Linked DNA regions of Drosophila melanogaster. The protein of the gene in region 1 interacts with the protein of each later gene in a biochemical or structural test. Each region holds a gene or a part of one and is shown in the gene's direction. Other genes may lie near its edges.

Evidence for each region.
Region 2: the proteins of mof (region 1) and nsl1 form a complex in vitro, tested with the Drosophila melanogaster proteins (one study listed by BioGRID).

The regions. Positions count from the first base shown.
Region 1 is NC_004354.4:5,870,286-5,884,484, reverse strand, and holds mof (males absent on the first), read left to right. Parts: upstream 1-7,631; 5' UTR 7,632-7,732; coding exon 7,733-10,216; 3' UTR 10,217-10,645; downstream 10,646-14,199. Other genes in the region: CG16721 (uncharacterized protein), read right to left, coding at 1,696-1,958, 2,022-2,188, 2,250-2,550, 2,615-3,099, 3,164-3,432; Usp30 (ubiquitin specific protease 30), read left to right, coding at 5,027-5,108, 5,163-6,439, 6,680-6,879, 6,938-7,055; GAA1 (glycosylphosphatidylinositol anchor attachment 1), read left to right, coding at 11,229-11,406, 11,467-13,145, 13,215-13,382. UniProt on the Drosophila melanogaster protein: Histone acetyltransferase that catalyzes the formation of the majority of histone H4 acetylation at 'Lys-16' (H4K16ac), an epigenetic mark that prevents chromatin compaction and constitutes the only acetylation mark intergenerationally transmitted.
Region 2 is NT_033777.3:15,787,470-15,803,750, forward strand, and holds nsl1 (non-specific lethal 1), read left to right. Parts: upstream 1-6,312; 5' UTR 6,313-6,584; exon of another isoform or gene 6,585-6,731; intron 6,732-7,359; 5' UTR 7,360-7,437; coding exon 7,438-8,110; intron 8,111-8,176; coding exon 8,177-9,422; intron 9,423-9,828; coding exon 9,829-10,325; intron 10,326-10,617; coding exon 10,618-10,998; coding exon of another isoform or gene 10,999-11,012; exon of another isoform or gene 11,013-11,251; coding exon 11,252-11,567; intron 11,568-11,676; coding exon 11,677-11,793; intron 11,794-11,906; coding exon 11,907-12,831; intron 12,832-12,994; coding exon 12,995-13,552; 3' UTR 13,553-13,751; downstream 13,752-16,281. Other genes in the region: CG9590 (uncharacterized protein), read left to right, coding at 1-289, 349-736; Uros2 (uroporphyrinogen III synthase 2), read left to right, coding at 1,135-1,896; c(3)G (crossover suppressor on 3 of gowen), read right to left, coding at 2,319-2,420, 2,479-2,715, 2,771-2,845, 2,911-3,423, 3,487-3,879, 3,933-4,115, 4,187-4,409, 4,465-4,973; Acyp2 (acylphosphatase 2), read left to right, coding at 5,366-5,432, 5,488-5,504, 5,573-5,682, 5,741-5,855; CG9593 (uncharacterized protein), read left to right, coding at 14,813-14,818, 14,871-15,300, 15,358-16,070.

The DNA.
Region 1 (14,199 bases):
TGCGATTGCGTAATATCACTCGGTAGTATTACTTTTTATAAATAATATAGCGCCAAAAGCAGATGCGGAAATGAGTTTAATATACAGTATAATTCGCTTAGCTGCCTCGAGTACTTTGCACAATGCCTCGATGCAGGTAACTTAAAAATGCAGCTAACTTAATTTTTTTTTTTCTATTTTCTATTTTCTATTCACACAAAAAAATGGAAAAATAATGCAGATATCTTGCCGATGCAGCTAACTATCGATGCAGCTAAGCGAATTATACTGTAGTAATGATTATAGCTACACTTTTGATGGGGATTTCGTTTGGCTTAGCCCCGAAAATGTTGACTCGAATTCGAAACGATGCCATCTCCAATTTTTGTGATCAAAGTAAAATACCTTATACATAAATTCCCTTTTTTGCACTTGCTGCGCATAGATAGTCCAAATACAGTATAATTCGCTTAGCTGCCTCGAGTACTTTGCACAATGCCTCGATGCAGGTAACTTAAAAATGCAGCTAACTTAATTTTTTTTTTTCTATTTTCTATTTTCTATTCACACAAAAAAATGGAAAAATAATGCAGATATCTTGCCGATGCAGCTAACTATCGATGCAGCTAAGCGAATTATACTGTAATCCATTGCGAAGGCAAATCGGTGAAAATGTAAACCGAAAACGAAACTAAAATTGCAAATGAATGCGAGGCGAGGTCATGGGCTTTAATGTCGACAAGGCCAGTTGTTAGATATTTAAAATTTAACCTATTTCACTGAATTTATTATATTGGAATCAGTGGGTAACCAAATCATTAATTAAATCTTAAATAATGGAAATGTAATTCGAATCTGGTACGAAATAGAAATCCGTTAGCAAGACGCCATCTAGCGAACTATTTCATGCTGTGCCGCCATCTGGCGGACTTTCTACATTTTACCCCGATCTGGCAACCTCTTAGATTCAAATTCATAGCGATGTCGCATATTTTAAATAATTTCTCGTTAATTCGCAAAATTAAAATCCAATCACATCACACAAATTAGATGATGTACCTTTCCCTTCCGCACCAAAAAGATGAAATCACTTGAATTCATTTACTTTGAATTTCGGTAAACTAGGTATAGATATATTCGTGAAGATTCAGTCGAAACACTGCTAATCAATCGAAACAATCAAAATAAATTCAATGGGAGTTACGGTCACAAAGGTCTAAGATATAGGATTAGTCCGGGGTTAGGGTACACGTGTATAATCATAATATATATATATATGTATGTACTATAAAGAGGGGGTTTACATTACGAAAATTGAGGAGCACACATAATTCACGAGTTCACTTTTCTTAACCCCCAAAAATTTGAATTTTGTGTTGAATATTCTTGTTATCACAGACGCTCCAGCACATTTTTGATTCCTTTCAGATGCCTCGGATCCCACTGGCTTTTTTGCAGGGGGATTTGCATCTGGAGTACTCATTTCTACTTGGTGGTTACGGGTGCGTGCGTCAAATTTTCTACGCAAGTGTCACGTCACATGGGAAAGCAGCTGCGGAATGCGGAATCCCTCCTCCTCCACACGGAAGATGCTATCCGCCACTCCGGTTGCCCTAACATCATGCAGATCTCCGCCAGATCTGTTGTTCGCCTACAGGTGTGTCTGAGTGTTGTATACTGGTATCTTGTGTTGCCTAAGACGGTAGACAAATCCACCTAAGGCTTGGCAGTCTGAGCCTGGCCAGGATTTATGCCACTGGCCGTGGAAGTGGTAGCCTCCGTTTCCTCACCGGGCAGCGTTTTGTTGAGTATCTGGTGGAAGTGCTCCCCGAACACGGCGTGGTTGTAGGACACCAGACGACGGAACGAGGCGATAAATGCAACCAGCTCCTCTTGGTAGTCCGCGAATCCTGAGGGCGGCGGCGGAATGCTGCCATTGGAGCGCAGTGTTACGCGCACATAGCCATCCAATCGTTTGGCTGCAAGCGATTTACGTGAATTGAATATAAAATACATTGTATTGCATAAACGAGTAAACTCACCCATCAAACTGGGCACCGGCGACGTCTTGTTGGCCAGCTTAAGCACCTGGTTCTTGAGCGCCGCCTGGTCGGCATCACTCAGCGCAGGCAAGTTCTCCTGCTCCAGGGCCTTGTTCACAAAGGAGCGAATCTGCTCGTAGCAGCTCTCAATGGTAGAGGCCACTTGGCTGTGAATTGAGGTTGAAGAAGGGTTAAAACAGCGCTCGGCTAGAGCACGAGGTATCTCACTCCTGGTTCTTGATGTCCTGCACAATGATGTCCAGCTGCTGGGCCAGCTTGATGCGGTTCTCGCGGCGCTGCGATATGATAGGCATGCCCTGGGCCACCGAGATGAGCGAGGCGCACAGGATCAAGCGCTGGGCTCGCCAACTTAGGCCGGCGAAGCGCTCTTTGTCGATGCGCAACAGCTCCGGGAACTCCTTGTCGGCCGGATAGTCAATCAGCTGCATGTAGGCATTGTAAATGGTCTCATCATCGCTGCTACCGGACCGGTGACGCTGCAGCCAATCCTCAGTGGCCGGAAAACCAACTGGAAATAATGGCATTCCCAATAAATAAAGGCATTGTAGTTTTTTTTTTGGCCAACAACCCACCATTTCCATGGAACTCGCGCAAGTACTTGCTAAACTTCTCCTTCTCATACTGCACCGAATTGGCAGCGATTTCGGTGCGCGCCAGTCGAAGCATAAAGTTGGCCATATCCAGCTTCATCAGCGTCATCAGCTCGAGAATGCAGCGAAACGTGTCCACCACATCGTCGATCTTGCGCAGAGCGGCCACTGCTTCGTCCCTAGCTGGCGAACAGGATCGCGACAGGATGTTGATCACAAAGTTGGCATATGCTCGAAAGTCCAGGGTACCCCGCTCCGCTTGCTGGCGGATGACGGAGTCATCCAGCACCTCGTTGATGTGGGCCAGGGCACGTTCGTTGTTGGGCGACAGCAGCTGCGGGAAGCACTCCTTGATCTCAGCCAGCAGCCGGATGGCCTGATCATACGATGGCGGCTGGCGGTCCAGCTGCACACGCAGCAGATCCCAAAAGGCCTTGTGCACCATCTTCTTGATGGCGCCCTCCAAACTGTGGACATGGGAATGTTAATTGAATGGTTTCCCTGACAGGGCTGCTGCTGGCACATGCTCACCTATCCGAGGGCGGCTCGTACTTCTGCAGCTTGAAGTCCGGATTGAGGGCTATCTCGTGGGCCAGCTCCATGTTGCGCAAATTCTTGAACATGCTGGACACTTCGTCCAGGGTCACAATTTTCGGCGGAGTACCATCCAAGCTGGGCAGCACGAAACGCGTCATGCTTTCCACGGAACTCTCGCTGTCCGTACGGATCCGGCGCTCCTCGTGCTCTTCGTGGTCGCCCGATTGTCCCGACTGTTCACTCCTATTCTCCTGGGCATCCATATTCAAATTCCAGTCCTTTGTTGTCTCCTCACGGGCGGAAGTGCGACGTTAGGCAGCTGCAGCAACTGGTTTCGACCAAATGCGAATTTGGTTACCACCGGTTAGAGCCAGTTGTATATATGGCTTGGTGATTATTACAAGGCAATTGGCAACTGCACTCGGGCTTTCTTTGTTCTTTGTTCGAGGTCGTCGCTAAAGCTCCGCTCGGGGTCAGTTCGCCTGGGAAAGAAAGGGGGTCTTAGATACAGTGATCGCAAGATACAAGTTACTCTTCCATATTCCTTGATGCGGTTTCTCATATTAGTATCGATTTTCATATAGAAGAGTTGGCAGGAAAATATTTTTAGGTTTATAATTGCAACACATAACCAATTTTCAATAACCTGTTGCTGTGTGCGCATATTTCTCAACCAAAAATAGTGTTTCAATTGTTATTTTCGAAATAGGTATTAGCCAATACCCACTGTAAACAAACACACGGAAGGAACCCGTTAAACGTGACTCGCACACACACACAAATGAGCAAACAAGTGCGCGTCTGCTTGCATGTATGAATGTGCGACAAGGAGAGAAGGCGCAAAAGATTTGAATGGAAATAAAATGTAACACTTTCGAAAATTCTCAAATTTTCTAGAATATGTAATTTGGCAAGCTGCGTGGCACAGATTCCAAAATTAAATGTGGAAAATGGGAGCAAATTGCACAACGGCCACGCAGCGAATAGACGACATAAACAAACGGCGCAATAAAGTAGCAACAAAAACAGAAGCGATTAGGTCCATGCGAGTGTGTGTATGTGTGTGTATGTATTTATGTTTCGTTGTTGTTGCTTTTCCTATTGCGCAGCAAGTCAGCTGGGGAAAATTGGAAAATTGGGAAATAGACACAAGGACGATGCAAAGTGGCTGCATTAAAACAAGATGAAAGCCAATCCGAATACTTACAATAGGAAGAAACGACGAGAAGGTTCCAGAGTATTCCGTTTTACTTTTCCCAAACAGCTGATTCACTTTCCACAATCACAGACAAATTTTGCAGTTAATTTTCACTCAATTATGCTCCTCCAGGAGGATTTTTATTCTAATCTGAACTATTAAGAACGACGACTGATATCCGAATGTTTCCGTTTCGATTGAAAACTTTGGTTGTTGTGCCTACTTTGTTTTCCTTTATTACAATCCCCTTTCCACACAGCTGTTCGAGGTGCCTATCGAAAGTTGATCAAATCGTCGCTATCGATAGACGATACAATAGTATGGGAAATATATTCTACGTTTACAAATTTAAGCTGTCAAACTTATGTTTGTTTAATGCTTATAGTAGAAACATTCACATGTACAACGATTCGGTTGAATTTTAAAATACTTGATTTTCTCTGCAAATTTAACGATAATTGCGCGCCAGTGTTGCGTAATGGCCGCACGTTGTGGTGTTAACAACTGAATCGCTTTGCAACACATCAAGAGACACAAAAATTTTTTCGGTCTAAATTCCTAACTAGAGTTAGTCTGTGTGCGATTTTGGCGGCGGGATTGGGAGTTCCCGGTACCGCAGTGATCTGCACCGGAAAACCAGCCATCGGAAATCTCAAGCCATGGAGAGCGAGAAGATTCTAATGGCCGCCGGAGTGACGGTAGCCGCCGTAGTCGGAGCCTTCGTTTTCTGGGGTCCTTCGGGTGAGTAGTAGATCTTCCATGGCGTAGTTCCCTACTCCAGCGAAACATTTGCAGGTTCCCGTTTGCGTCAACGACGCGGCCAAATTGCCGGTCTCCACAACTTTGGACTGACCTGCTTCCTAAACACCCTGCTACAGGCGATGGCCGCCTGTCCCCAGTTCATTGCCTGGCTGCAATTGTACAACAACGCCTCGCCGGATCGAAAAAGCTTAATTACGTCGATGTTAAACACTCTGGAAGTGGTCAATGGCACCCATGCCACTCTGCGCGGCGATCCCTATTCACCGGGAGCCGTTCTCCGGGCTCTGAATGCCCTGGGCTGGGTGATTCCACAGGAGGAGCACGACGCCCACGAGCTGTTCCACGTGCTATTGACCTGCCTGGAGGAGGAGGCCATACGACCACAGCCCCTCGGCTGTCTGTCGGATGCTCTGCCCACGGATAACGATGATAACAGCAGCTTGGCAGGCACAGCAACGCCAGTAGGGGGCTTTCGATCATTTAGCTCCATGGCAGCGGGACTGGGAGCCAGCCAGAGGATCGGGGATCAACCGAACCGGCCCTCCAGTGCCATGCTCACTGATTTCTTAAACATGGAGTATGATGAGAGCACCAGTTTGCAGCGATTGGTGCGTTCCGAGGCCCACACACCGGATTCGCCTGCCTCTGTTTGCGAACGCGACGGAAACGATCGCCTGGGATCCGTGCTTCTGGATGCCGTTTCGCCAGGGACACCCTTTGGCTTTCCGCTCGTCAGCAATCCGGATTCCTTGGCTACGCCTATGTTGGGCGGCGAGCGTTCGTCGCGACCGCGACTTCCACAATCCCAACAGCAGCAGGATGAGGGTCTGAATCGCCGGGTGTCCAGCTCCTGTCGATCGCTAGAGCGCCTGCATCGCGGACCAGGTCGGGTGTCCATCTGGTCCAACATGATGCCCAGCCAAGTGGCGCATCCGTTTCAGGGCGCCATGGGCGCACAGATCGTGTGCAATGGCTGCGGCTCCAAGTCGGCCGTTCGGTACGATAAGTTCGACAGCATAACGCTAAATCTGCCGCCGCAACGCAGAACTGGCTTGAGTTTGGGCCACTTGCTTAGCGAGTATATCACATCGGAGGATCTGAGCGATGTCAAGTGTGACTCCTGCAACGAGACCACCACGCACACCAAATCGGTTACGTTCGCTAAACTACCGGCCTGCCTGTGCATCCATGTGGCGCGGACGGTGTGGCTGCCAACTGGACAGGTGTGCAAGCGGAAGGACTATGTACACTTCCCCGAGAGCCTCTCCATGGCGCCCTACAGCTTCGTGCAGCCGCATCTCAATAGCCAGGTGAGCGTGTGTTGCATATGTTTGCCCCAGAATAACAAACTTCCCCTGTAAAAATTATCCTTATATATGATCATTTAAATACATATATCTAAAGGATATATATGTATAGGATATATCTATAGAATATAGGTCTTTCCTTTTCTAATTGGTGTACAAAGAGTAGTGGCATTCAATTCAAGAACTGTTTACATTTAGTAACTAGCATATTGTTAAAACAAACACTTTTGCTCATGATTACAGGCTGGCACTCCCTGGGGCTCGACAATGTCGCTGTATTCCTCCAGCCTGCCGATGAACAATGGCGTTGGTGGTGGCGAGGGCTTTGGCACGATGTTCCCCAAGAATCTTTACCGGCTTCTGGCCGTGGTGGTGCACTCCGGGGAGGCAAACAGCGGTCACTTTGTAACCTACAGGCGTGGCTCGTTGCGGAACGCACATCGGTATGGTTTCCATTGCCTCTGTGTAATAATTATGCTAATTCTGTGCTATCCTTATTAGGTGGTACTACACATCGGATACAATTGTGCGGGAGGTGAGCATCGACGAGGTGTTGAGCGTCCCCGCCTATCTTTTATTCTACGATCGTGGCCAGCAGAGGCAGCTAAATCTGCGCTAGTCAGGTGTAGGTCGTCGGTATTATTCTAGTCCATACTTTTGATGTGATGAATATGAATATCCGAAACCAAATCCTTTTCGTCGAACGGTGGCCATAGCAAACACGCGTCACATTTATATAGATATATATACATAACTCATATAAGTACGGGAACCCACGATGATCTGACCTATACTCGGCGGGTTCATGTAATGGTCTCCGCATAATCCAAACTCTGTGTACGGCTTATTGCATATAGGAACTCCCTATCGTAACAGAGAGCTCGACTCTTCATTTGTTATCTATGCATTTAAGATTTTTTAAGAATTCCAAATTCATGCCGTGCTTTTAGCTGTCTGTATTTAGCAATGTACACAAATCAACTACCAATAATTGTTTGCGCGTTAATTCTGTAGGATAGATGTTCAATAAAAATTTCGAAATCAGTTCCAATTTTTTAAAGTGCTTTCTCTGAAGGTTTTGGATAAATAAAATATATTATAATACTGAATGCACAGAAAAATCCAGAAGGGTAATTTCAAAAAGGGTGCAAAGTATTGTACATCGATAACCACCGATTAATAATCGATTATCTGGACATGTTGTGATAAATCAGGGTTGCATTTCACGCCGTATTTCGTTTCATTTCCCTAAAGAGTGAACAAAAATACGCAATTGGACAAATCTAGTGGCTAAGAATGTCTGAAGCGGAGCTGGAACAGACACCCAGCGCGGGCCACGTGCAGGAGCAGCCGATTGAGGAGGAGCATGAGCCGGAACAGGAGCCAACCGATGCGTACACAATTGGCGGTCCGCCGAGGACGCCGGTTGAAGATGCGGCGGCCGAATTGAGCGCCAGTCTAGACGTCAGCGGCTCGGATCAGTCGGCGGAGCAGTCGCTCGACCTCAGCGGTGTCCAAGCGGAGGCCGCGGCGGAGTCAGAGCCACCGGCGAAGCGCCAGCATCGCGACATCAGTCCCATTTCGGAGGACAGCACGCCGGCGAGCAGCACATCGACTAGTTCCACCAGGTCGTCCAGCTCCTCCCGCTACGACGATGTTAGCGAGGCGGAGGAGGCACCACCGGAGCCCGAGCCGGAGCAACCACAGCAGCAGCAGCAGGAGGAAAAGAAGGAGGACGGTCAGGATCAGGTGAAGTCACCAGGTCCAGTTGAATTGGAGGCACAGGAGCCCGCGCAGCCGCAGAAGCAGAAAGAGGTGGTGGACCAGGAAATTGAAACCGAGGATGAGCCCTCCTCCGATACGGTAATCTGCGTGGCCGACATCAACCCCTACGGCAGTGGTTCCAACATTGACGACTTCGTTATGGATCCCGATGCTCCTCCCAATGCAATAATCACCGAGGTGGTTACCATTCCAGCTCCTCTTCATCTCAAAGGGACACAACAACTGGGGCTGCCATTGGCTGCCCCACCGCCACCACCACCTCCTCCAGCAGCGGAACAAGTCCCCGAGACTCCCGCCTCGCCCACAGATGACGGCGAGGAACCACCAGCAGTATATTTATCCCCCTACATACGCTCTCGCTACATGCAGGAATCGACACCTGGCCTGCCCACCCGCCTGGCGCCGCGTGATCCTCGCCAGCGCAACATGCCGCCGCCAGCCGTAGTTCTGCCCATTCAAACCGTACTTAGCGCCAACGTTGAGGCCATTTCTGACGACAGCAGCGAAACTAGCAGCAGCGATGACGATGAAGAGGAAGAGGAGGACGAAGATGATGCCTTGACCATGGAGCACGACAACACTTCCAGGGAGACGGTCATCACAACAGGTGACCCTCTGATGCAAAAGATCGATATAAGCGAAAATCCCGACAAGATCTATTTTATTCGGCGCGAGGATGGCACCGTGCACCGTGGCCAGGTGCTTCAGTCTCGCACCACTGAGAATGCGGCCGCTCCCGATGAGTACTACGTCCACTATGTTGGTCTCAATCGCCGCCTGGACGGATGGGTGGGCAGGCATAGGATCTCGGACAATGCGGATGACTTGGGCGGTATTACCGTGCTGCCAGCGCCACCATTAGCCCCCGATCAGCCAAGTACTAGCAGGGAAATGCTCGCCCAACAGGCCGCCGCGGCGGCAGCTGCCTCATCCGAACGGCAGAAGCGTGCGGCCAACAAGGATTACTATCTGTCCTATTGCGAGAACAGTCGCTATGACTACAGCGACCGCAAGATGACACGCTACCAGAAGCGGCGCTACGATGAGATCAACCACGTGCAGAAGAGCCACGCTGAGCTGACCGCCACGCAGGCGGCGCTGGAGAAGGAGCACGAGTCCATTACGAAGATCAAGTACATTGATAAGCTGCAGTTTGGCAACTACGAGATCGACACCTGGTACTTTAGTCCCTTCCCCGAAGAATATGGCAAGGCACGTACGTTATATGTTTGCGAGTACTGCCTAAAGTACATGCGCTTCAGGTCGAGCTATGCCTATCATCTGCACGAATGCGACCGCAGGCGTCCGCCCGGAAGAGAGATCTACCGCAAGGGCAATATATCCATTTACGAGGTGAACGGCAAGGAGGAGTCACTATACTGCCAACTTTTGTGTCTGATGGCCAAGCTCTTTTTGGACCACAAGGTTCTATACTTCGACATGGACCCGTTTCTCTTTTACATCCTTTGCGAGACGGACAAGGAGGGCAGTCACATTGTGGGCTATTTCTCCAAGGAAAAGAAGTCGCTGGAAAACTACAACGTGGCCTGCATTCTGGTATTGCCGCCGCATCAGCGTAAGGGATTTGGAAAGCTACTAATAGCCTTTAGCTATGAGCTGTCGCGCAAGGAGGGCGTAATCGGTAGTCCGGAGAAACCGCTCTCGGATCTGGGTAGGCTGAGCTATCGCAGCTATTGGGCATACACGCTGCTGGAGCTGATGAAAACCCGCTGCGCTCCAGAGCAGATCACAATCAAGGAGCTGAGCGAAATGAGTGGCATCACCCACGACGACATTATCTACACGCTGCAGTCCATGAAGATGATCAAGTATTGGAAGGGCCAGAATGTCATTTGCGTTACGTCCAAGACCATTCAAGACCACCTCCAGCTGCCGCAGTTCAAGCAGCCCAAGCTGACCATCGACACCGATTACCTCGTCTGGAGTCCGCAAACTGCAGCGGCAGTGGTCAGAGCTCCGGGAAATTCCGGCTAGCATACGGAACCTGGAGACCCCGTTCTGCTATCATCGCATATAATTGTTATTGACGATGACGATTAGGTTTTTTTTTTTTATTTTTTTTTAAAGAAAGCGTAGGAATAAGCTATTCTATTGCACCCCTCCAAACGAAAAATGTATAGTCATATATCTAAATGGAACCATCAGAAGGTTCAATGTAATACTTAACATTTGGTTTACAATTTTTTTTTTTTATAGTTAAGGAGTTTTACGGATAGGCTGTTGTAACTCTTAATGATAGAACCAAATGTCTAATTCGTTTGGCTAATGTTTTTGGAGAGGGAATTTGGAACAACCATTTAAAAATTTTAAAAACTTCTGTGTTCTTGAAATATATATCTTTAACTACTTTATCTCGAAAAACTCTGGACTTGTTAAAAACCAAATAAACTTCCACAGCAGCCGATATGCCGACGCCTGAAGAGAATACATCTCTATGAACTCCTTACACGTAAGATAGCATAATCTCTCCACGGTACATTTTTATACACTATAATTAAGGAAGAGAATCCATAATATCTTTTAGGCTACACATTAGGTTAAGTTCAGAAAGAACTGAACGATTCCTACTGACTAATGAACAATAATAAATGATTTAAACTGTAAAAAAGAAAAACTCCAATCTGAGAACATGATGTACTTTCTCAAATAAATGCGTCGTTACATTAACGTCAAAAAGAGGAAAAATTAAATAAATATTTACAACGACAGGTTATTCTTTTCATTATTTTTGCAACACATTTCTTGTAGGTTAGCTTAATATGTATATTTTGATATAATAAAAAATATATATAGAAATATCGAAAACATTGGAAAAACAAGTTTAAAATTTCGAGCATTAAAATCCATTGCTAACCCTCTCCTCCCTAGCGTCATAAGCAATCGGTTATCGAGGTTATCGATAACGCCCGCATCGATACAATTCCGCCGGCTTGTCCGATTCGTGTTGTTGTGATTCGGGATATATACAGGATATAGGGCAGCCAAAATGGGCCTGCTGTCCGATCCGTCGATATCGACGCAAAGCAAGCTGGTGGACGGACTGGCGCGTCATGTTCGCAAGGTGTGCTACGCCCTTTATGTGGCGGGTGTGGCCTGGTTCTTCTGTTTGGCGCTGCCGGAGTTCAACCACGGGACATATCTCTCCGAGAATGCTCTTTCGCCAGGTGAGTTACGTGCAGCGTCACCAAAAGAGAGCCGCTAACAATTGGTGTGATCTATTGTAGGCTTGGTCTATCCGGAGATCCGCATCGATGCGAATCGTCTGGCCATCCAGTTGCTGGAGGAGCTGCAGCGGGAGCGAAAGGATCATCTGTCCACCACGCCGCACGCCTGGATTGCGGCCAAGATGAACGAGTTCGGCCTGGAGACGCACACGCACAACTACACGTTGCGCTACCCATTTGGCGGCGGTAAAGAGTATCACGGCAAGAATATCTACGGCATATTGAGGGCCCCAAGAATTGCCTCCACGGAGGGCATCGTTTTTGCGGCTCCATATCGCGCTGCCAGTTCCGTGCACACGGACATTTCCGCCAGCGTGCCGCTTCTGCTGGCCTTCGCCGATTTTGCCCGGCGCAAGAACTACTGGGCGAAGGATCTGATCTTCCTGATCACCGAACAGGAGCAGCTGGGCATGCAGGCCTGGCTGGAGGCTTATCACGATGGCGACCGGGAACTGGACTTGAGCAAGGCGTACCTGCGTCCTGGCAATTTGCCCGCTCGCGCTGGTTCGCTGCAAGCGGCTCTGAATATTGAAGTTCAGGATCTGGAGATTGACCATGTGGATGTGCGAATAGAGGGCTTGAACGGCAAGCTGCCCAATCTGGATATGTTCAATCTGGTGCAGAGAATTATGGCCCGCGAGGGCATCGCCTCTGGCTATAAACAAGCGCCACGCAAGAAGCGTCGTCACAGCCAGTCGCACTTCGAGCAGAACTTCCGCCAGATGCTGACCATGCTGGCCAGCCAGTCGTCGGGCGTACCCACTGGCAATCATGGGCTGTTCCACCGTTATCGGATCGATGCTTTGACCATAGCTGCCAATCGAAGGGCCACCCATGCCACACTGAAGGGCAGCCCAGGATCGGCAGCGGTGCCTTTGCTGAAGGCCATCGAGGGAATAGCCAGGAGTCTGAACAACCTTCTGGAGCGCTTCCATCAAAGCTTTTTCTTCTATGTGATCGTAAGCAACGATCGCTACATCTCCATTGGGGATTATATGCCCGCTTTGGTGGCTCTGGTAGCTTGTGCCTTCCTTAAGGCCTATCTAACGTGGTCCACGCTCCCGGCGACCAACGCTGAGCTGGAAAAGGCCGCTGGCTGGCTTAGGGAGCACGAACAGGAGGCGGAACTGGAGGAGAACCTAGAGCCGGATAAGTTCGAGCTGCCGTATGGTTCGGTATTGATTTACCTTACTGCCACCCTGTTGATTGGTTTCCTGTGCAACGTGCTGCCCCTGCAGCAATATTTCCTAGAGATTCCTATGGGCGCCGCACCACTGACCACCTCAGTACTGAGTTTTCTTTCTCTGATCGGTTTCGTTCTGCCCTTTGTGGTGGTTTTGCCGCCCGGAGGATTGGAGCTGCTGCATGTGGCCTTTCTGCTAATCTATGGCTGCGCTTTAATAGTCATCGGGCTCCTCAACTTTGCCCTGGGCTTATTTGCGGCCGTGCTGACTGTACCGCTGGTCATCGCGCTGGAGACCAAGGAGGAGAACTCGCGCAGCACGCTGAGGAACACGATCCGCTTGGCCACGCTGGTCATGAATCCCATGATGGTCGTTTATGTGATCGTGCTGGCCATGACATTCTACCAGTTCCCGGAGCTGCCGGTGCAGAAGATCATGCTGAGGGCGGCCACCGCGGCCATGGATGCCTCGGCTTATGGACTTATCGATTCCGTGGTAAGTTAAGATTTCAGTTGCCACTACTAACATACATAGATAATAAACTAAAATACTTTCCTATTGCAGATTTATGGCAACTGGCTGTACTTTGTCATCTGCACGATTTTCCTGCCGCTGTGGATCATCTGCTGGACCTTGTCGCTGTCCAAGCGACGCGACTACGCAGATTACCTGGACTTCGATGAGTCGCCATCAACGTCGCCGCAGCCGCAGTCAAAGGTGAAAACGAATTGAGGAGACGAACAGCACGGATTGCCATTCACTGGCTACATATATCAACTGGAAATGATCCTAAGATGAAGTGTGATAAACCCAACAAAACTGTGTGTGATGGCGGTAAGAGATTGCACATGCAGAGAAAATTCCATTTAAATGTTATGCATTTGATTAAATGTCTAAATAAAAGAAGCCTATTTATTAGTTGGAATAACTAAGTGTAAATGTAATCCAAAAAATATTAAATATACCACGGCATTTTCGATGTTGATTCCCAGTTAACTTATCATTTTAAATTACTTAAGTGGTTAACTTTATCAGTAGCTTCTTGTGATTTATGGATTTTCCATTATATTTGCAACTTTGTTTGCACGTAAAGCAGTAATGCATATATTTCCCATCCGTTGGTTATTATTTCTTTTGTCAATCCTCCGTCTTCGCTGGCGTTATTGGCCAGTGGAGGACAGGAGTTTCTCCGTGGAGTAGTGCTCAGTGGAGCACGTGCCTCTTTGAATAAGTGGAAAACTTTTCGACTATGACACGCAACTTAATTTAAACTTTGCACCGCTGCCAGCGCCATCGTCGTCGCTGCTGGCAATTAGTTATGAGCCAGGATTTGGCTCAATCAGAGGCATGGATGCATGGTGTCCTCGAAGCTGGGAGCCCTGCACTTGCCGCACCGTGTTTACCGGCGCCATTCAATCTGCAACTTAACAAGAAAACTTTCCTCACACAACCATTCAAAGGCAGACACAAAGTTGCGGCGGCACAGTGGTACTTTCACTCGAAATGTAGAAATGAGAAATTTTCGAATATCTTTTTATTAAATGGATAG
Region 2 (16,281 bases), on another chromosome or scaffold:
AGCTGCGTTTCGAAATCCTTTTCGAAAATTACTGCGGCCTGGTGCACTTCGAGGCCCTGGAGATCCTTTCCAAGGAGTCACGCCTCAAACTGGACACCCTACTCGATGCGGTTAGTGGCAATGCCCGTGCAGAGTTGCAGGAAACGATAAACGAGGTGAAGGAACTGATCGAACTGGAGGATCTGGATGTGGAGAGTGAAGGTGACTACGAGGCGGAGGAACTGAGCGAGCGATTGGCGGCCACAATCAAGGACGCCGAGCTGGGCATTCAGTTTGACGACATAGCCAAGTAAGTTGTCGGAAACTAATATTATTTAAACATACCATAAACCCAAATCTTTTGTACAGTCACTGGACGCAGTCCCTCAGCTGGTTGACCTCAGAGGAAGCAACTGCCGCCGATCTGGAGCAAGCCTATGCTAAGAGCATCCACGCGCTGAGTGAAGCGTGCGCCCTCGAGATGTGTAAGCTGCACAAAATCGCCGAGCTGTTGCTGGTGAAGCCACATCACAGCACCGCCAACGAAGTGGATGGCGTCGTCAATCTCTGCCAGCAGTTCAATGGACACCTTCAAGGACTTAGCCACCGCTTCGCCGCCGTTCTGAGCGGCAAGTCAGAAACGGAGGAATCAAAAGGCCGGGTCAGCACATTCTTTTCCGAAATGCTATCTGCCGTGCAGTTCATCGAGAAGGCCTACAAGCTATTTACACCCATTCTCCAGATGGGAGCTGTGTAAACGGATTTAAGATTAATTGTTGTACTTTCTACTTTTACTATTGCCTGGTTAGTGTTCTCAACTCACTTGTTTTTCCATATAAATGTACAAAATTATAAATGATTGCGTTGCAAATGCTTGTGATAACATTCCCGAAATTATTGAGAAGTTTTTTCAAAGTGCAACTGAAAGTTCGGTAGCCTGCATTCGTGTTTGGTTGGATTAGAGCCACCTAATAATAGTTGGCTTCAATGTGATGAACTATTTTTAAAACCCGACTCTCGATAGGCGCGGCAATAATTTTCAGGCATTATCTATTCTATGCCCTTTCTATTCGAACTATTCTATAAATCAAACGCAAAACACGAATATCAAATTGTCCATTCTCTAGTTAAGTCCAGCAAAATTTAGTTAGAATCATGGGAGATCGCAACAAGCAGCCGGTTATTCTGCTGAAGGTTCCGTCCTCCGATGATTTCTATGGTTCGGCGTTGCGCAGCCATAACCTGGATCCCATCTTCATTACTCCCTCGCATTTTGTGTTCAAGAATCTGAAGCAATTGCAAGCCAAGTTGCATGAGCCGCACAAATATGCCGGGATTATATTTGCATCCCCGCGCTGTGTCCAAGCTGTAAACGAGGCACTAGGAAAGACACCACTTCCTAGTTGCTGGCGTGCGTTACACAATTATTCCCTAGGCAAGAACACGCACAGCGCCGCCTGGATAACATTCCAGAATCTTCCGACTCTGGGCGATCATGCCGTGAATGCAAACAATCTGTGCGATCTGATCGTGGAGACGTTTGGACCCAAGAGGGATCTGCCACTGCTCATGCCCTGCGGCAATGGCGTGGGTCAGACACTGCGCCTCCGTTTGGTCGCCCAGGGATTCCGGGTGGATGCCTGCGAAGTGTACGAGAGTCGGTCGCATCCGGATTTCGTCAATCAGATGCGGCACGCCCTCAAATTCAAGCGAATGGAAACGATTGTGTTCTTCGGACCCTCCAGTGTCCGCAGCTCCTTGGAGTTCTTTGGGAACTACAACGTTTCGCTTAAGGATCGCAAGCTGATAGCCGTGGGCAGTGGCACCAGGAAGGCAATGGAGGAATCTGGAATTAAGGCGGACGGAGTCGTGAATGCTGCTGACGTCGACCGCCTGATAAATATCATCAAAACATAGTTTAGTATCGATCATTTTACGTTTTGTTTTTACCAGTTTTTACTTTTGGTATGATTTCAAAATCTGTTTGGTGTCCTTTAAAGAAATGAGGACAAAAGTGTGTTATTAATTAAAGTGTTTCAACAAAGTACATGTAATGTTTTTATTACAAAAACTATAATCAAATAGATTGGATCTATTTGAACAAGATACTTCAAGATATGAGTTTTAATTTAACAATTAGATACAAAATGGGATTAAATAACATAAAGTAATCATGTTCTTAAAAATAGCTTGCCAGTTTCAGACAAGTTTTCAAAGAAGTACAGATGTTTAAATGATGATGGATCTGAATGAATTTCTAAGCTCAATATTCTTCCATTTTACTAAAAACAAAGTGTAAGAATTGATAATGTTGTCTGTATGTTCGTTGTACTGCTTAGTTATTTAGAATTCTTCAACATGTCGAACATATCAATATTATTTTGTGGCTTGATGGGCGCACATAATTTGGCACGTTTGCCGCTTAAAGAGTTGCCCACGATCTGTAATAAAAGTTCAATAATTTAATTTCGATTATAGGTGCAATTAACAAATACTCACTGGTATATCATCGCCGCTATCAAAGTCGGAGGAATATGTGGTAATTTTTTGACGACGAGCATTACGCTTTCTGGCAGTGCTTGAAAATTCGTCTGTATTTTCCGGTTGCACCTTAGTAGGAATGCTCTCAGTTCTGGTTGGCCCTTTGGAATCTTTTAGCTGTTTAATTGTGGTCACTGGTTGGTCGATCAGGCAGTTAATTCGATTCATTTTAAATTGTAGCACAGCCATTTCATTCTGTTGGGCAATTTTAAATATATAACATGAAATATAATGAGTCCGATAGACTTACGTTCTTTTCACGCTCAAGTTCAATCAATTCGGTTTCTTTTCTTTTAATTTCAAGCTCCAATTCGGATACCTTTTTCTATATAAAAATAATAAATCATTTTGTAGAAAAAAGGTTAATGAAAAAGAATTTATAAGTCTTACCATTAGGTTATCTTTCTGAGACTGTAATTCCTCGCTAAATTTAACTTTGGCCGTGGATAATTCACTCTCGATTTCCTTCTTTTCAGCCTGAAGATTGATAATAGCGCTCTTTAGCGTATCATGATCACTAATCAAATATTCCAATTTATCCTGTTGAGCCTTAAAAGCTTTATTCCTTTCTTCGAGTTCAGATTTAAGTTTTTGTATTTCAACAGCGTTTCGCTTATTTTCGCTCTCAACTTCAGTGGCCTTCATCTGCATTTGATTAGCAAGCTGCTCCTGTTGCCTTTTGAGTTCTTCTTCAAAATTATGAGTTTTTTCTTGAATTTCATTACCAAGACGCTTTATTAGCTCTTCCTGATTGCTGCGATGGGACACCATTTCTATAAGTTTTTCCTGCAGTTCGGAGACCTGCAGAAGGGTTTCTTTGTGTAGCTTCTCACTGTTGCTTTTTAGCTGAGTAAAATCAACTGAAGCCTTGTTCAAGCTCTCTTTTAACTCTTGAACAACAATCTGTCAAGGAGAATAAATAATCAAGATACAATAAAATATGAATTTAGTATTTTTCAGACCAACCTCGTAGGCATCTGCTTGATCTTTTATTTCCTGGGAGTGCTTCAATTTTGTTTCAGTCAACTCATTGATATAACTTTCGTTGATATCAGCGAGCTCGCTCAATCTCTCCGTCATTTGAGTTAGTTCATCACTTAGGGAAACATGTCTTCTTTCCTTTTCCTCAATAAGAGTCTTAAACGTATTTATCTCATTGCGAACAAGTTCGAGTTCCCTCGTTGCCTGATCAGTCAATCGTTGCTGATCCACGAACTGCAATTCACTGGCTTCTAAATCACGTTGCAGTTTCGACAAAGCTTTGTTGGCCTCTATTGGCAGCTGCTCAATGCGATCTTCAAGCTGGGCGCAGTCAAGCATCTTTGCATTTAAGTCGCTGCTTAATTGTAAAATGTTTGCCTGTGGAGAACATAATGTTATAATCTAATACAAGGAAAGCCAGTGTAACCCACCTCAAACTTTTCCTTTTGTGCAGACACATCTTCAAATTGAAGCTGTAGGTCTTCGTGGAGCTCTTTGAGATCGGTAAGTTCATGTAGAATCATAGATTTGGCCACTTCTGCTTCTTCCAAATCCTTTTTATAATTCTCGCAGGCTCCAGCTAACTCACGATTCGTTTGCTGCATATTATTCAGCTGCAAAGTGAGATACACATGTAGATATATATAAATTTATATCTATATATTTTAAAATATAGTAAACTCACCTCTTGCGCCTGCAGGGCCATCCGGGATTGAGCATCTCGGAGCTCTGAATTTTTCTTCTCAACACATACTTTAATGATTTCCAGCTCCTTGTCGTAATGTTGCTCGCAGTGGGTGTACTTTTTGTTGATTTCCGTGTACTTCTGGATGTTCTCTGCGTTCTTCTCCTGCTGCTCGATAAGATCAGTTTTCAGTTGGGTCAGCTCCAGTTCCATATTTGTCAACCTGAAAGAATAAGCTCACTGCAGGCAGGAACTGTATTGAAGAAGGAAGGTCTTACTTTTCCTTCAAGCTGATATTTTCCGATTTTTTCTTCAGCGAGTCCATGGCGATGGCTCTCATTTTCTTGCTGACCACCAAGTCTTTCTTCTTGAGATTATTTAGCGATTCGTTGTACTGCTTTATGAAGCTATGAATTATTATTCCCGTGTGGGGCGACAGCTTCTGAATATCTGCCCATAATTCTCCCTCGTTTTTGGGAGACTTTTTTAGACTTTTTGTTGAACTGTCTATGGTGGCTGCAAAAGTTTGGTCTTCCTGTGTTTTTTCCACAGCCTGAGAAGTTTGCGCTTCAATTTTTGATTGCTGAACTCTAGGAGCCACTAGCGGAGTTCTTTTTTTGGATGGCTTTTCGTTTGATCTTTCGAAAAGTTGAGTTTTTACATGATCCTTTTTCCAAACAGTTGGAATTTGGCTGTTTTTTTCTTGGGCAACTGTACCTGGTTTTGGGGCTTTCGAGTGAGCTGCATCCACTAACGGTGCTCCCGATCTTTTCTTGGCGCCCGTCATTTTGCCAGCTAAGCAGTTGTATTAGCGCAACTAATTTATAAAAGAAATAAATATATATTGTACATTACAAACGTTTTGTTTAGTTTACCTAAACTTTTACCAAGTGCGTCCTGCGTTGAAAAGCAACGGTAAACATTAGCTAGAGATGAGCTTGATGACCTACAGTATATTGTTGTTCACAAGAGGTGTGTGTACTGTCTAAATACTGACCTCACGGTATTTTCTACTGAACGCCCCTGGTTTTGCGTTGTCGCCCTGGCTACGATAACTATGTTACAATTTAATAATAATTCTATTTTGGTTGTCAACATTCAGTTTTTGCTAGCTCTATTTAGAAATTTGAGTGCTGCAAGGAATCTAAGTGGCATCAGAAATCTGATCACGACTACATAATGGCGGGATCTGGAGTTGCCAAGCAGATATTTGCCCTCGATTTCGAGATCTTTGGACGAGTGCAAGGTATGCAATGCATTTTTCTGATTCGGCTTGTTAAACAGCGTATTAAATTTTGCAGGTGTGTTCTTCCGCAAAGTAAGTACTGGGAGGCCTATATATATATCTGGAAATCAACATTTAACTTATGTACATTTTTGGCTTAGCACACGTCGCATGAGGCTAAAAGATTGGGAGTTAGGGGCTGGTGCATGAATACCCGGGATGGGACCGTCAAGGGACAACTGGAGGCTCCTATGATGAATTTAATGGAAATGTAGGTACCGCTGCACTCCACTAATTCAATCATTTAACCATCGCCCACTAATTTGAAGGAAACATTGGCTGGAGAACAACCGAATTCCCAACGCTAAGGTCTCAAAGGCTGAATTTTCGCAAATCCAGGAAATCGAGGACTATACGTTCACTTCCTTTGACATAAAACATTAAAAACGAATTATTAGCTCTTTCGTTGTCCATCCAATTCCGAAACAAAGTCTAAATAAATTACCAGGGCTGCAACTTGCGTAAGCAGGCATATCTGCATTGCTATCGACTGAGTCGATAACATTCGATAGTATGAACATAAGAAATATTACGTTTCGCAAAACTGAACCCAGTACTGAAGTACAACAATAAATAAATAATAAATTATTTAAAACAAGGCGGAAAATTATTCCGAGAATCGATAGTCGCTAGTCGAAAGTGCGCACCACTCCAGTATCTACTCGATATATTGCTATCACAGCCGATAGTTTGCAGCTCCCTGCCATAGACACTGGTCATCTCGCTCGCACACACAACAGTGGGCCGCGCCACCGCCATAGGCGGCGCACGTGCAAGAGCGAGACAACCAGCTGGGCGACAGCGCACTTTGGTCTGGCACAGAAACGAGTACAGCTTCGATACACGTCGTTTTGCCAAAAGCGTAGCAGAGCAGTCTAAGCGATGAAAAAAATAAATGAGGAAAAAAGTCCGTGAAGCGAAAACCGTAATTCCTACAGTGCGAGTCACGCCATTGTGTTTGCAAAAAATATTTGCCAATTGTGCTACGGGCAATTTTTCGGAACGGCCGAATTGTGCGTATAATGAAAAAAAATACTACTTAATTTTTAAGCAATTTACAAATTCTTGCGTGCTGCCTGCCTGCTGTCGGTGTGTTCTTGCTTGCATGTGTTAGTGAGTACGATTACTTTCGCGCTGAAAACCTTTTTCCACTGCCCTTTCGCTGGAATCTGGGCGAATATAGATAGGACACAAAGCACATATAACTGATTTTTACTGCAGAATTGATCGAGACATGTGGAATACAATAAATGAGATTGTGTAAATAACTGAATATAGTGGCGCATACAGTTGCACGTGTGTGTGTGCTAGCATGTGCGTGTGTGTGTGTAAAGGCGCGAGTTTCCGTTTGCCTAGGCTAATTGTAGTGGAAAAACTCAATAAACGGAATTACATAAAAACATGGTGGCATGATCGGCAGTTTCCCGCCGGCAGAAGATGCCCAATCTTGGAAAATTGTAATTTTCGAAAGTAACCGCAATGATTTCGTCAGTATGTAAAGTAGTCTGTCAGTCCCTGCATATGTTTGTGTGTGTGTGTTCTATACAGTTTTTTTTATTGCGCATCATGGTGTGCAATAGCGCGCTTTCTGACCTCTCTCTCGCTCTCATGGGTTCTCTTGTTGGCCAAAGCGACGCTGTGTGTGTGTTGTGTACGCATATGTAGCATATGTACATAACACGCCGGAAAAGACAAAAAAAAAAAACCATTCCAAATTTTGAAATCTTACGGAGGCGGGCGGTTTAAACGAGATAAAAAATAAATACACCAATATTGTTCTTTTATATGATAACGCAGTAGTCTCGGACCGAATAGTATGCCTTTATTTTGTCGTCCTAACGCTGAATTGCCGAAAAATAATAGCCCGTTTTTGGAAAATTCTCGACAGGATTAGCATAAAGAGACGCCTTAGGAGTCGAACGAACCAAATGCCGCAGCAGCCGGCCAACGTATTAGCATCAGAACGATGGCCCCAGCGCTCACAGCCGAGCCACTAAGTCCAAAGGAGAAGCTAACCAGCACCGCCTCGCCCTCGGCCCGCAGCTCCTCGGAAAGCGGAGGAGTTGGATGTGCAGTTGGCTTGGTCAAGAAGCCGGCAACACCCACGCCGGCCACGGCCACCACGCGGATTACCCGCTCATCAGCGGCAGCGGCCTCAGTTACCGCTTCCCCGCATCTACAACAGCAGCGATCCTCGCTAGCAATCAATAACAAGCGAAAGTCGGGCAACGCTAAAGCCAGCAATGAACCAATGGGGCTGAGCACAGCCCCGACTCCACACAGCACCACTTCACCAAATCCCTCGACGGATACTGCGGCAGCCTCCACCTCTGCCGTGGAGCACAACAATAACGACAGCAACAGTACCTCCGCCGGCAACAGCACCTCCGCCGACAACAGCTCCACGCCCAAGGACAACTCCACCGCTCAGCTACTGGCGGATCTAACCATCAACTTTGAGGAGACCATATCCGCGGAGATTTGCCTGAGGAAAACCCTACCCGATGTGAGTCTGGGGAAAGAGCCGGTTCCGCCTGCCTCGGTGCTGGCAGTGGCCACAAGTTCAACGAGTGCTGGCAGCGCTCTATCCTTATCTGCAGTGGATGAGGTGACCAAGATAGAAATAGATAATATAGAAGGTGGGTCTAAGGAATCACTCCAAATAAATAGTCTTGACTCAAAATTTCTCTCGCCCACTGTTTCAGAGCGTCTCAGCCAGCTAGATGGGAATGCCACTGGAAGGCCCGAGGAGCATGTGGCACCACCTTCTGTTCCGGTACCCGTGCAGGAGGCGCCAAACACGCCCACCAGGCCACAGGCGCCACCAAGTGCCCATCTTGAGTCTCCGCAGCCGGCGCGAACACAGCAGCAGTCCATTCAACAGATGACGCCGCAAAGCACCACCAGTTCCAACAATTTTCTCAAAGACGGAGCAGCTGGTGCTGTTCTAGAGGATCAGGATATCGAGGAGGTGCTTAAAGCGCTCAAAACATTTGACGGTGGCCATGTTAATCCAGATACCATTTGCGAGTTTTTCGACGAAGTTTGGGAAGAGGCAGCACCGGCAGCGCCATTGCCGCCCGCGCCACCCGAAAATGTGGTGGATGTGCCGGGCGCGAAGCCCAGCTGCAGTGGCATCCTCGTTAGCGGCAGCAACATTTCCCAGCCGAATGTGATTATTAAGCAGGAGCAGCGGCCCTGGCAGGAGAGTCATGCTGAGTTGGAGCAGCAGCAGCACGTTATCTCGCGCAGGATCGAGTTTTTGCTACGCAGGATGCGCAAGCTCCAGGCGCGAGCGATGTGCCGTCACGCGAGCGAGGAGGTGGTTGGTATCATGGAGTGGTCTGCCCGCAGTTCCCATAAGGCTCCAGTTCCAGCGAGAAGTTCCACGCTGACTGAGCAGGAGGCCACTGTCCTATCGATTGTCTCAGGGCGTCCGAGCTCAACCTTCTGGGAGGAGCAGAACAAGCATCCGCTGCCTGCTAGCCAGATGAGTAATGTGATCCGGCATATTGCGACGGCGGCAAAGCATCAGCAAATCTGCCACTCAGCCAGCGGAAGCTCTGCTACTCTGGCGCCATCCTCCAGCTGGTACAACAGCTGCAACAGCTCTGCGCTGCCGATGAAGCGTCCACGAAAGAATCAACTTGATGCTTCGGTTGCAACGGGTGCCACACCCACTGCACCTGCGCCAGGAGCGGTAACATCTAGACAGGCAGCTGGCACGACGGGATCCGCAACGGGTTCGAATACACCGCGGGCGGATGATATCGTGCCCGGCTACGACACCTATGTGACTAATGAACTCACCCATGTGTCTGGCCTGCTGCACACGGAGCTTCGAGAAGTACAGAATGCCATCGACTCGGACGCCACGGAGTCAAGTTCTGGTGGAGAATCCGCTGACGAGATGGTAACCTACAACAACAACCAGCAGCTCTCGCTACCAATGTGAGTACTTCGTATTATTTATGTACATACTTAGGTTATCGGGAATATTTTACAAGTAAACTTTCTTCCATCTTTTTTTGAGGGGGGTTTTCAGCTTCTGTCATCTTTTTAAGATCATTCTTTTGCTATAGAATTTGTCCGATTAATGTTGGCTCGGTAGTTTTCTTTCAAAATTGTTTTGCTTTGACAGGCATTTTAAACATGATTTAACGTCGTCCTTAGCAATTGAAAAGTTGTAATAGGCTTTGATTAGAGTTGTTGTACCTAATTATCGCATTTACAATGCGATATTTCAACTATTTCAACAGTTTTTATTAAAATTGTTAATTAGCGATTATATATTTCTTTTAGCTTTTTTTTTGTGGTATTCTCTTTCCTAATGCTCTTGAAATTTGATTCTTTGCAGCACTCGACGCGCTGTCTGGCGATATTCGAGAGATCGTGCAGCCATTGCCCTGCGCTGGTCCTGGCTCTGCTCCCAGCTGACCGATTTGGAGATGAAGATCCGTCAGCACAGCGACCTTTACATGGATCTAACTCAGTCCAAGGGCGAGATCCAGCTGGAGTCCACAGCTAAGACCTCACCGTCGCTAGCACAGCCGGCAAATGGCATTAAGGAGGAGCCCGGATCCGACTACCTCTGCAGTCGGGCACGTCCATTGGTGCTGTCCGAGTTCCGCAAACGCAAGCTCTTCCAGACCACGAACATGCACACGATTTCCAAGAAAGCCGCACGCCCCAGCAACATTAAGTGTGGCTGCCAGTGGCCGCAGGTGCCATGCACACTGTGCACGGGTCGGACAGACCCTACGGCGCCCAGGGATCTGGTCGAGACGATGATGCCGCAAAACCGGGTGGCATTGCTCGATGCTGGCTACCATCCAGTGCTCAGCTTCGCCAGCGGTGAGTGGGAGGTTACACTGAGTGGACCCATTTGGTTTTCGTCCATGATTATTTCTTATCATCTGTGATGGTTTAACATTATTTATTCTACACTTGAGATTTGAACTGAATTGATTAAAAAGTAAAACTTTAAAATGCAATACTTGCAAATAATTTTTATTCGAAACTAAAACATTAAAATCCTCGTATTCTTTACATTGGATTCCAAAATGAAAAGAAATAGTCGGATGATGACAGCTAAAGTGGAATTATGTTTGAATATATTCTTATCCCTATCATTCTTGTTTCCCAGATGTCAGTCAGTCGGTTCACTTGGAGGCCGTTGCCCGCCAGCCGGACTGGCAGTACCGCGTCATGCGCAGCCAGCCCAAGGCCATTGTCAAGGCCATGTGGAAGGCGGAGCGCGAGACGATAGCCTCAGGCGGTGTCGGCGGACAAGGTGGCAGCCGGCGGTCGGGCGATGCGGCGAAGCGGCGTTATATACGACGCAAGGAGCGCAACAACAACTCAAATAAGGAGGCTGGGAGCGGAGCTAAAGCTGCTGCTGTCGCCGCAGGAGGAGCAGGCGGAAACGGAAGCAGTAGCGTCGGGGGAGGGGATAGCGGAAACGGTACTGGTACTGCTACTACTTCTTCTTCTACTACGCCTACTACAACGCCACTTGTGGCCAACAGTAAATTATTGTAAACATGACGAAATTCGATAATTGTTATTAACATAAAACAACAACAATCTTTTGCATCTCTTCTTCTTCTTTTTCTTTGCATCGATCAACCAAAACACGAAATTCCACCAACACCATCAACAAACACCACCACCAACAACAACAACGAAAAACCCCACCAATTGTTTTATTTTGCCATTCCGTTCTTGTCTCCGTTTCGTCCCCGTTCCGCATCCAAATCACGGACTTGACGCAACATCAGCAGCGGCCAGGGGCAAGCGGCAACCACAACACCCAACTGGAGCGAACAGTTCCAGCTCGCTGTGGCCAGACTCTCGCCAACGCCAACGACAACGCCACCACAGTCCCTCCTCAACCTCGATCTCGGCACTGAGCGGCGCTAAGAAGGCACGCAAATCCGCAACCAACAGCAGCAGCAGCAATTCCACACAGCAGCAGCAGAATCACCACGGCACCAAAATCAACAATCATCATCTCAATGGCTACGGCGATCAGTGGGGGGAGCAAAGCAGGAGTCGTCGCAACTCTTCGCCCTCCAACAGTCATAAAAATGAGAGGTATGTTTCGGATTCAATAACTGATCCCAGGGATTCGCGATAAGTAGTCCTGCTTTTTTTTTATAAGATAGATTGTTATATATAATTTATATGTATGTTTCCCTTGCAGAACCTCTGAGCGTCGCGTTCGTCCCATCTACGACATCAATAACATCGTTATACCCTACAGTATGCTAGCCCAGTCGAAAATGGAGATAATTCCCTACAAGGAAATACCCATACCCAAGTAAGTATTCAATTTTGCGCTAAGTCCTTATTTTATATATATATGTCGCATAATGTAAAATACCAAGATTTGTGTATATCTATTAAAATCACCCATTCCATCTTTGCTTTCAGGTGGCGCATTGTAGACAGTGATAACGATAAGGGAAAACATTCGTCAGATGAGTCAATGGAGCGCAAACTGAGCAATGGCTGTGTCGCATCAAAGTCAGAGGAGCTAGCCAAACAACAGCTACCACCACCACCAGATCAAGATCAAGAGCAGCCGGCCCTGCAGCCTCCGAAGGTTAATGGTTTAAAGGAAAATCAAGCAGTCAAGCACAATAACAATAATAATACAAACAATAATAATAATAAAAATGGACTGGTAAATGGTAACGCCAAAAAGGATGAACTTAAGGCTGCAGAGGATCACGATACGCAATCAAAAGAAGACGACGATCCAAAGGAAAAGGTGGTCAAACCCAAGCTCAACGGAAACTTGATAAAGAATCCGATTGACAAAACTGCCGAAACGCAAGACAAAATTGCTCAGCCAGCACCAGAACCACCACTGCCAAAGCGACCCAAGCTGGAAACTCCAACCTCCAACGAGGTCACCAAGGCTAATGGGCAGTTGGTGCAGCAACAGCTGGAATCCCGTGAGAGCGAGGAGGAGCCACAGCATGTCGACGAAGATCTTTCGGATGAAGCGTTTATTATGCGACATCAGCGAGCTCTTCTCGAGGAGCGACGCCGCTTCGAGACTTTCCTTAAGTTCCCCTGGAGCACCCGATCGCGTGCAAATAGGCGCGTCGATAGTCGTGCCGAATCTAGTGGCGCCAACACACCGGATCCCGCCTCACCAGCTCCTCATCTAGGCGGCCCTGGTCACGACAACGAAAGCATTCCCTCGCCGCTGGCGTACCCACTGGACGCTTTTAACGAAAGCGGTGAGCTGCTGACTGGCGGACAGGCACGCCAAGCTCGTCGTCGGACTACGTCTAGCAAGCTTAAGGATCAGCTGGAACGGCGCAGCACCACGCCCGATCTGCGGGAGGTAAGTCGATGTCCAAGTTTCACATTTGTTGAACTCATATATAAAATAAATTCTGGTTGTGCCTATTACTTTTGCCGAATTTTGTTTTCAAACTGCTTTGAATGTTCAAATACTGATTGTATAGAATAGTTTTCTAATTGAAACCCTTTTCCTTTTTGTATAGTCTTACACTGTGATGCCATCTCCCTTTGAGCCCTTGAACTTTCCGCTCTCCGACGAGGTCTACCAGCGATTGCTAGCCGAGACATATGCGCCGCCCAGGTCAATGACCGTCTCAAAGCGGGCCAAAAGCAAGTCGATATCCTCGAACTGTGATGGTGGGAACACCTTCACAGGAGGCAGCGGCAGTCGGCGCAGCAGCAAGTGCAAGATTAAGCCAAATGGTCAGCTAAATGGCCAGCTCAATGGCCACCCTGCGGCGGCGAAGTTGAACGGAATAGATGCGGCAAATGAAGGTGGAATTTCTGAGCCGGAAGAGGAAGAGATGCTGCTAGAAGACGAGGATGACGACTATCCCAAGCATCATCTGGCGCCGCTGGATGACGAGGAGCCGTCGACACCAGATGTCGAGCATGAGCTTTACGACTCGGCGATCGATGCCTATCTCGCTGATCCGGAGGCGCTAGAGGAGGATATGGGCGAGGATCCCTTCGAGGACGACGATCCCAACGATCCGGAGTGGAAGACACGGACCGAGGGTGTTCGCAGCAGACGCATCTAAGACCAAAATCCAAAGTTTTCGTTATTTAAGACTTTTAAACGATTTGTCAATTTTTAAAGCCACAACACACACACACCCACAAATCAGCCGGAGCAGACCAACAAATTTTAATTTGTTTCAAACGGTTTGGTTTGCACTCACAACAGCATTGCGTACTCTAAGCAATCGTCTAAGTTATTTAGTTCTACGAGCCCACAACAAAAAAAAAAAACACAGATACGCTACACACAAGTACACAACAAAACAAACACGAAGCAGAAGCGAAAATCTTGAAACAATGTAAATACAAGCTAAACGCATAGAGCTAAGCAGTTACTGATAATTGTACACTAACCAACGATCAAGAAATCATCGAACGCACCCACCACGTCGCGTGGACGTGGTGGATGCGGTCGGTTGGAGCACTGGTCAGCGGTTAAGTAGGCACCACAACAAACCCACTTGGGCTTCAAGCCGAAGTGCGCTAATGATAAAAATATTAAGCTAATCTAAATATATATATATATACGAAAACATTTAAATATATACCATATGCATACATTAACGTGTAAATGCCGAAGAGAGCAGTTAGCTGAAGATTTGAAATGTATTCGCACCTGCACACAAACGATATAACAACTAAGCTATAGAAGGCAATTATCTGTAAATTGATCAAGCTTAACCATTAGCTAACCAACCATTAGCCTTTAGCCCAGCAAGTAATCAGTCGGCGTTGGGGCCGTGTTTTTCTTATATTTTAAAAAGTTTATCAGCTGTAAATGTATAGAGCGGAATTCGAAAGGCGGTGTGTGAAAATGGATCGAACGATAAATGTATGTATATGTATTTTAGTTGCTTAGGCGTTTTCATTTCTACCTTATAAACACGTTAGCGGCTAATTGTAGCAATTAATACTATAAAACACAAAAAAAAAAACAAAAACAAAAAACAACAACCATAAGGAAACCTAGCGCGGCTATGTCCGTGAAAATGTTTATTCTAATTTCGTTTTTACTATCTACTGCGTATGTTTCACCGCAAAGCTAGAATCCAGTTTAATTCGTTAAAACTTGAAAAGAAATACAACAGAAATGTGAAGATTAACTAAGGACCGCAAAAATACAGAATTATATATTCTTAAAAATGACACATGGAGCGCCAGAAGTGATATGCTGGGACCACCATCGCCAGATGGTGGAATCTGGCCAACATGTGTGTCGAATAGTTTCACTAGCTGACTTCACCAGTTGACTTCAGTGGGCGATTGAACTTGGAATCGAAATGATGGTAAGGGCGGACAACGCACTGGCGGCTTTAAGGATACTGACTCCCTTTCAAGAAGTTTTCATTGCTTTTTCTGCTGGCCTGGAGCTGTGTGTTTCTGGGAAGCACGGGTTCTCTAAATCGGATTGGGAATTCTGATATAGGCTTTAAATCCTTGGAGGAGCTAGTCTTGATTAGAAAGACTTTGGCTGCACAGGCACTAAAGCTAAGGGGCTTGGAGATAAATCTGCATCGCGTGCTCAGCAAGGTGGTGTTACTCGCCGATGCAGTTGTGCAAGTACCTGGAAGATACTCCTCCAAAGAAGATCCCCTTGCCGTTCTATCTGAACGTCTAAATTTGTTGCTGGAGCGACTGAACCAGGAAGAAAGAATATCTACGAATTTGCTGGAACTCAAAGAGTGGTCAACTAAAGTGTGCCAAGAACCTTCCCCAAGCCAGACCTTACCAAAGGAACTTACTGAAGAAAAGGACGAGCCGAAAGTGGGCAAGTTATAGTGTATCATTTTCAAGTTTCATCGACTCACCCGGTGACATTTTCCAGACTTTTACCAGCCCGCCAAATCCGATTGCCATGAGCTTGACGAAGGTGTCCGGGTGGATGGCGTCTATAGGTTTCTGGTTCCGGAGCGCAATGAAGTCCAGCGTGATTTGTACGAGCGTTATTGCGCCTTCGCCACCGACGGCCCCGCCTGGACAGTGATCCAGAGTAGAGGCGGCTCCTTCGATCCGCACGAAAATTTCAATCGCAGCTGGGACGAGTATCGCGCGGGTTTTGGTAACTTATCCCGAGACTTCTGGTTTGGCAACGAGTTCGCGCACAAGATTCTCTACCGCGACGATCATGAGCTGAGAATTGAGCTGCAGGAGGCAGGGGAACCGCTGGATTGGGCGGAGTATCCACTCTTCTGGCTAGACAGCGAGAGTTATAACTATCAGCTTTCGGTGGCTGGTGAATTCCGTGGTTCACTACCGGACGCTCTGGAGCAGCACAATCGGATGGATTTCAGCACTTACGATCGGCGAAGGAACCACGCGAAATCGGCAGATTCCACCTGTGGCGAGGATTACGGTGGTGGCTGGTGGTTTGATCGCTGCACACAGTGCAATCTGAATGGAGAACATGGTGTCCACCAGAGAGCAAGTCCAGCCATTATCTGGATGAACTGGCGGACCGGGACCGATAAACCGAAGAGCTCGCGGATGATGATTCGACCCGTAAATCCCACTCCGGGCGATAACTCTGATGGGGATTAGGCGGCGGAGAACTGGGAAATTTAAATAGCAATTCCAATCAAATGTTGCACGTATTTCTGCAATTGAACGTTACCGATAGTTGGCACTGCAAATAAACGTTACCGATAGGAATCGAATTTACTGGCACTTTCTAAATAATTCTGTGTTTATTCCTGATTTAAGCTGTTTCCATTATTATGAAAATTGGAAGGTATTTTCGTATCATAGGATT